Linked DNA regions of Stegostoma tigrinum. The protein of the gene in region 1 purifies or fractionates together with the protein of each later gene. This does not show direct contact. Links are inferred from orthologs where the notes say so. Each region holds a gene or a part of one and is shown in the gene's direction. Other genes may lie near its edges.

Region 1 (3,921 bases):
TATTTCCAGTTAAAAGTGATTTGGTTAAGCTAAATTTCAGGGACATGAAATTGATGAAAATGGCACCAGCATAGTGAGTACCGTTCAGGCTGATTGGAGCCCATCTACTCCAGGCCAGAGGTGTCGTTTTCTCGACGTACTTTTCAGGTTTTCTCTTTCTGTTTGTCCTTTCTTCCTGAAGTGGTGTCAGTAAGGGCAGCATTTGCAGGGTCGGCGGAGGGGGACTCCTCCGGGTTTGGAATACCTTACAGAGACCTTGCAGAAGCCTTGAAGACCCCAACTTGAAAGGAACACGAACTCCCATTTTAGTAATTTCTTCTTATCCTTTGTAACTCAAAATAGCACTGGATTGTGGTGATAAATCCCTTTTCACTGTATCTTCACGGTATGCGACAACAAATCGTTCATTCATTCAAAACTTCAATTCTGATTAGAAAGCACTGGTTACTTTAAATCTAAATGTAGCCACGGTGCATAAAATTGACAAATCATTACCTTTTTTAAAACTTGTGAATTGAATTTAAAACTTTGCAACAGCAAAAATTTTGTCTCACCGTCCTGTTAAGTCACCAGAAATCCGAGGGCACTAAGTTCAAAGTCTGAGAGAATGTAGCATTTAAAAATAACCCTCACACACCTCTCTCTCTCTCTCTCATAGCTATATTAAACCCCTGGATTAGGACCAGATCATCAACACACTCCTTAACGCAGGAGACTGAAGTGGACGCGAGGTGAGCTGGTGACCATTAGAAGCTCGGAATTTTAGAACAGGGGCTAGTCTGATTTGCTGCTATACCGCTGATTGATACAGATATCAACCAATGAAACGCTGCGGTTTTTCCTAGCAACCAGCCAATAGAAGCTACGAGCGCTGAGTGTGAGGCGGGCCTTTGTCGCTGGTTGTGAGGTAACAGCGATAATTGACATGATGTCGGATCAATGGAAAAGAGGAACAGCGTTTGAAGGTGGGACCTGTTTTTGCGTCGCCTGGTAACGCAGCTAACAGACATGGAGGACTACCAATAGGAGGAGGGAATAGTGCCCAGCGGGCTTTGGGGGTGTGATGACGCACAACGGCAACTCCGGAGTTGTTCAGGGGCAGGTAAACAAAATGGCGGCTGCCTAACAACTGAACTCCTTGCAGGAGGAGGGAGGAGAGGCGATGCTGCATGGAGCGGAGCAACGACAACATCAGTCAGAGGAGCCCGAGGAATCCGAGTCGATCCTGGCGCCTTTCAGAGACTATGTCGAGATGGACGAGGTCATTGACTACATCAGTGACAACGACCTCATGGGAGTGGACACTTTCATCCACAGGATAGATTCCACTGACGTGATCTACCAGCCGAGGAAGAAACGGGCCAAAATCATCGGAAAGTACCTAATGGGCGACCTCCTGGGAGAGGGTTCCTACGGCAAAGTCAAGGAGATGCTGGACTCTGAGACACTGTGCAGGAGGGCCGTGAAAATCCTCAAGAAGAAAAAGCTGAGGAGAATCCCGAACGGGGAAGCGAATGTGAAAAAGTAAGTGGATGGAAGTAGAAATATTGCACACACGATCGAGGCTCATGAAGCGCCTGTAATGCTTACTGACAGTTCACACCGAATCCCTAAAAGTGGCAGTTGGACAGGCTCTACCCCATCCCCCTCAACTCCCCCATCGCCACTTTTCACTTTTGACAACCAAACCCGTCAGTCCATCGTCGCGATTCTTGCTCCCAAAGGGACAACGAGAGGTGAACTAGTAGCCTGTCTTACTGCAGCCAACCTGCATGTTGGTTTGAAATCTTTGGATTTCTGATGATCATATCTTTTTTCAATGTAACAAAGGCGGTACTTTCGTGCTCCGTCTCTTTGAATTAAGAAAAATGAAGTTCTGGTACCAGACTTGTCAAGTTGACATATTTTTGAAACGGGGAGGAGTAAATGTTATAGTGACATCGTATTCTTGAATCTCACAGCTATAGTAATATATTGAGCTTAACATTTTGAACCGACGACATTGGTACGAGACAGCTGTTTCCATTTAAACACCCAGTTTTAGTGATCTAGGTTGGAGAAAGAGGAAGTAAAACATTTGAACGATTACGATTGCCCGTTGATTTACCATATAGTTTGTCGTCATTGCGATTTTTGCGACATATAGCAATGAGCATTATGCAGAACAATGTTTAATTTTATTTTCAACCAAAAGATAAATTTAGCCAGTTGAATGTTGCAACCGCCTAGCTCCCATTTCTTTCTGTGGTTTAAAAACTCAACCACTGAACAGCAACTTACATTGTTTTAAGTATTGTATTTGACTTAACGATGATGTGAACTGCGTGTTTAGAAATGTGAAACAGGGAAACAGTTCTCATTGAAAATGACACCTCAATTAAAATTTAAACACAATTTAAATGCTTTCTATCACTGTTCTATTGATTTTATATTCTTCCTACTAAAATCTGAGCTTTTAATTTGCCAAACAAAAATATTGGGGACATTCCTTGGCTGAGTTCCCAATTTTGATTAATACTTATACTCTGGCTTCACTTGGGGCAAGATTTAGTTGGTTTTTAAAGGGTCATCGTGTGATTGTGAATTTGGGACTCTTCTCTTTCAGCGTTGGCACAGGGCTGTCTAGTCAGGTCGGTAAGGAAGTGAGTTCTTTTGGGTTCATGACATTGAAACTAAAGAGGAAAGCATTGATGACTTTTGGGGTTTGGGGAAAGGGATGTAATTTTGAGAGAGTTGATGATTGTGACGTAGCCGATATCTGTTCAGTAATCTTAGAAATCCTCTTCACCACTTTTACAAATATTAGATAAATCTCCATACATTTGCTTCAATTATTGAGTCAAAATATGTAAAAAAGAGCACTTGTACTGTTAATACAGTCAACTCTTAAATGAGAGTCCTGCTCATTTATTATTTGTGCCGTGCCTTCTTCCAAGATAGCTAGCATCTAACTTGCTTCAGCACAGCTAAACTCACTTAGATTCTTGCTAGTCTAAATATTCAACAATATTTGTTGATTCCTATAAAGAAATCTTACCCTGATGTACAGAGCTGAAAAAACAAGTGTAGGTTTTTCACTGAACAGTCAGTCAGCTTTTTGGATAACCTTTGTAATTTTTTTCTTACTTTATGTTGGTTCATGGTGTTTAAAAAGTTAATATTAGTGATTTTGTTCAAGTGAATTTGGACTATGAAAGGTCTAAAACATTTGATCCAAATCAAGTGTGGATAATGCATCCACCCATTGTTGGTTGCTGAAGGCTTCCTGGCATTACTACTCCAGTTCTGTTTTGACAGTGCCAATATTCCATCCTCTGTAAAATTAGCTCATTCAAATCTCTGCTGCTAACTTGCACAACCTTCCTTTCACCTATTAACCATCTGCTGATGTAGATTGGCTGTAGTCTCACTAACACCTTGAATTTAAAATTCTCATTTTTGTATTCAGATCGCTCAATGGCCTTGCTTCTCATGGTTGCAGTAACCTGTACTTTTGGAAATCTCTGCTCCTCAAATTCTGATCTTGCATGTATATCTTTGATTTATGTTGTCTCATCACTCGGTACCTTTGGCTCGCCTAAGCCCTGAGTCTTGGAATTGCCTTTTTCAACCTCACTATTTCTCTCTTTTCCTTTTTAAGTACTCCATAACACAATTTATTTGATCAAGTTTTGGCCATTTGTCATAGTTTTTTTTTCTATTTATGTACCTCAGCATCAAATGTTTTTGATAACACTGCTGTGATATACTTTGGAATGTTTTACTGTGTTGCAGGTGCAGAATAAGTGCAATTTGTTTTAAGGAATTAATAACACAGCAAAAAAATAGGAGCAGGAGTAGGCCATTCAGCCTTTGATCTGTTCTGCCAATCAGTAAGATTATGGCTGATCTGATTTAAGACTTAATTCTACTTTCTTGAAT
Region 2 (3,921 bases), on another chromosome or scaffold:
ATCAGAATTTTCCTCATGCAAAAAGGCAGAGATTGTAAGTCTACTTTTTCAGGACTATCATTTAGAATCTATTTATTTCATGACTGCTAAGTTCTTGTCTGAGAGAGTGGAAATTCTAGGATAAATTAGAGCAACTGCACTTACTACATTCTATAAAGTCAAGGAAGAAAGGGGATATGTGGAGATAAGATCACTGATTCTATTCTCTCCTCCTTATCCAGTGGAGATTATTGTAAAATGATTTCAGTATTTTAAACCGAATGGATTTTAACCTATCACTAAATTCAGCAAATTCATTGCATTCAAGCATTTTCTACTCTGCTCTGTCCTATCCTGACGGATAAATCATGTAAGTTCCAGCAATCATCCAGCATTTAGACAATGAATCTTCTTTGTCTTTGATCGTAGACAATTACTGTGGTCAGGGTATCCAAAAGTGAGTGGAGAAGTAGTAGAGTCAGTCTGTATTCTATCTTAATTCACATCTCTAGTTTCAGGAAGGATTGAGAGAAAATGATCAGGAATGTCAACCCTTTCTTATATTTTTCCTTTCTAATTCAAAGATACTAAGGCCATTGTTTCCAAACAATTTTGACCCTTTATGTGCAGCTCTTTAACTGAGATAGAAATTGAAAGTTCAGGCACAACTGAAAACAATTATTCATTGTAAATTATAGGAGAGATCATGTTCAAACTCAACTTTTCTTGATAAAATTGGAAGATACCCTCTAATGATGATAGCCCTTCAGTCCATTTGATCTCTGTAGAAGTCCTATCTCTGTTCTGATAGACATTACACTGTGAAACAACAGCAAAAGTTAGAACATTGAAATAAAAAACAAAATGCTGCAAATACTCAAAAGGTCTGACGGCATCTGTAGGAACAGAGTTAACTGTCAAGTCAAAAAATACTTATTCATAACTGATAGCAGTAGAATGTGATTGTTATATGGCATTGAAATGTGGGAGGGGTTAATGTAGAAACATGTCTGGGATAGGGCCAAAGATGGGAGAAATTGACTAACAAAATGCCTTGGAGCAAAAGGCAAAGGGAGTGGTTCTAGTAAGGGAAAGTGTTTTGTCCAGAGTAAGCACTAATGCCAGATTTAAAATTTAAACAAAGCCAAACAGATTCTACATGCTGATTTATCAGCACTCTCCACTCATATAATATGTATGTTTATTCTATTAATTTGGTATTCTTGTTTTATAGTGATAGCATCCCTACCTCTGAGTCAGAAGGCCTGGGTTCCAGTTCCACCTGCTTCAGGGCTCTGTAATAACATCTCCAAACAGGTTGATTAAAAACATTTAAATTGGCATTCTTACGAACTGTCCTGCTGAGTGCAAAACAAAAAAATTTTTGACAAAATGTGACTTTTCCAACAATATTACCGTCCTAATTGTCTTTTCTTTCAGGTCATTTTTTCACTCTCATCTGCCTTATCCCAAACCTTCCCTTCTGTCGTTGCTCCCCATTTCAATGGCAAAGAATTGACATCTTACTCAAAACGTAACTGTTTCTTTCTCCATGGATGTTGCCCAGTCTGCTGAATAGTTCATCATTCCTGGTTTTATTGAACAAATAGTGCTGGGAAGACGGTCACCTTGTTATTTGGGAAAGGACAAAAATTGCAAACGTGTATTTCACAAGTGCTCTCTGGCACTGAACTCTGCGTCTGCGTCTGCTTCTGGAGGACTATAGTAGACCCCCAGCGGGCAGGTGGCGCTGTTGCTCCGATGACGGACTGTGTAGGACGCTCTTGCCGCCAGTTGAAGCTCCTTGTTGGGGGGTGGGGGAAACATGGCGGCGGCAATGAGGCAGGAGTTGGCGGTGTTGATGAACTCCAGTGGCTCTCACAAGGATCTGGCCGGCAAGTGAGTGAAACGGGGAGACTGGGCGAGCGTGTAGAGGCGGCGGGCGGACTCCCCTTCCCCCACCCCCGGCAGCTGTCGGAGCTTTGCCGCCTGTGGGCTGACACTCAGCCGGAGCCCAGCCTGAGGAGCGGTTCCTATGACAGAGAGACTCCCCGCCCCCTGCTTTCTCCAGGCTGATGTCCAACTGTCTCGGCTCTGTCCCGGGGCACCATAGGGTTGTTTGTTTCAGCCTTGATGAGTAAAATTGTCTCTCCTCTTGCTACAATCTACGTGAGGTTTAAAAATCTGTTTTACGTTTGATTGAGGGAGTCACATTCATATCAGCTTTTAGTAAAACGTCCATTTCAGAATCATTTCGAGATGGTAAGAACTGCCTATGCTGGAATCAGAGATAAACACGGCCATTTCTGAGGAAGGGTCCCGACCCGAAACGTCAACTTTCCTGCTGCTCTGATGCTGCCTGGTCTGCTGTGTTCCTCCAGCTCCACACTGTGTTATATAATAATCATTGTTACTTATTAGACATTTATTGCTAAAATGATCGACCACAGAAATTTTCATTTCCTCCGTTCATGGATTCCAAATTTAAGGGTCTCCCCACCCTGTGCTGCAGAGACATCAAACTGTATCGATCGTGGTCATGCCAGATCCGATCTGCAGTCTGTGATGCGACAACAATTGTTGTGAGGGCAGTAGTTGGGTACCCAGTGAGGATTCATAGTGCTAAAGTGTCATACCCTGTACCGTCAAATCTCCTGCAAACCTACAGTGTTACATCAAGAATGACCAATCACGCAAGGTACCCGAGGGCTACTTGTGGCTATGGGACTTATCCCTGAGCTGTTGAATTTACCGGTATAAAATACAAGTGCTGTTGTTGACCACTATTTGTCACGTGGTCACAGCCTCTGTACACTGACGTGAGTGTGATTGGTATGCTCTTTAATTATGCACGAAGAGTGCAATTTTATGTTTTCATTCAAAATTTTTGGTCCTAAGGAAAGGTACAAGTACAGCTGGACAAAAAAAATGGTAAATACAACACTGAGATAACAAAGTGTGGAGCTGGATGAACATGGTAGGCCAAGCAGCATCTTAGGAGCTCAAAAGCTGATGTTTCAGGCCTAGACTCCTCTTCAGAAGAGGGGGAGAGGGAGAGGGGGAGGTGGATCAAAGGTGGATAGAGGAGAAGATGGGTGGCGAGGAGACGGACAAGTTCAAAGGACAGAGATGGAGCCTGTAGAGGCGAGTATAGGTGGGGAAGTAGGGAAGAGGTAGGTCAGTTTGGGGAGGATGGGCAGGTCAAGGGGGCGGGATGAGGTTAGTGGATAGGAAATGGAGGTGCGGCTTGAGGTGGGAGGAGGGGATAGATGAGAGGAAGAACAAGTTAGGGTGGCGGGGATGAGCTGGCCTGGTTTTGGGATGCACTGAGGGGAGGGGAGGGGAGATTTTGAAGCTTGTGAAATCCACATTGATAGCATTGGGCTGCAGGGTTTCCAATTGGAATGTGAGTTGCTGTTCCTGCAACCTCCGGGTGGCATCGTTGTGGCACTGCAGGATGCCCAGGATGGATACGTCGTCTGAGGAATGGAAGGGGTAGTTGAAATGATTCGTGACTGGGACGTGCAGTTGTTTATTGCGAACTGAGCGTAGGTGTTCTGCAAAGCGGTTTCCCCAATGTAGAGGAGGCCACAACGGGTACAGCAGATGCAGTACACCTCATTAGCAGATGTGTAGGTGAACATCTGCTTGATGTGCACAGTCTTCTTGGGGCCTGATATGGGGGTGAGGGAGGAGGTGTGGGGGCAGGTGTAGCACTTCCTGTGGTTGCAGGGAAAAGTGCCAGGTGTGGTGGGGTTGGAGGGGCGTGTGGAGCGGATAAGGGAATCATGGAGAGAGTGGTCCCTGCGGAAAGCAGACAAAGGTGGGGAAGGAAAAATGCCTTCGGTGGTGGGGTCAGATTGCAGATGGCAAAAGTGTTGATGGATGATGCATTGGATCCGCAGGTTGGGTTGGTACATGAGGACGAGGGGGATTCTTTTT

The links.
Region 2: the proteins of stk11 (region 1) and cops4 purify together in Homo sapiens (affinity purification with mass spectrometry; 4 studies listed by BioGRID and IntAct, with this or other methods). This does not show direct contact. The link is inferred for Stegostoma tigrinum from reciprocal best matches to the Homo sapiens genes STK11 and COPS4.

Annotation. Positions count from the first base shown.
Region 1 is NC_081383.1:17,099,263-17,103,183, reverse strand, and holds the start of stk11 (serine/threonine-protein kinase STK11), read left to right. Parts: upstream 1-1,064; 5' UTR 1,065-1,162; coding exon 1,163-1,524; intron 1,525-3,921. UniProt on the Homo sapiens protein: Tumor suppressor serine/threonine-protein kinase that controls the activity of AMP-activated protein kinase (AMPK) family members, thereby playing a role in various processes such as cell metabolism, cell polarity, apoptosis and DNA damage response.
Region 2 is NC_081354.1:77,491,987-77,495,907, reverse strand, and holds the start of cops4 (COP9 signalosome complex subunit 4), read left to right. Parts: upstream 1-1,753; 5' UTR 1,754-1,804; coding exon 1,805-1,878; intron 1,879-3,921. UniProt on the Homo sapiens protein: Component of the COP9 signalosome complex (CSN), a complex involved in various cellular and developmental processes.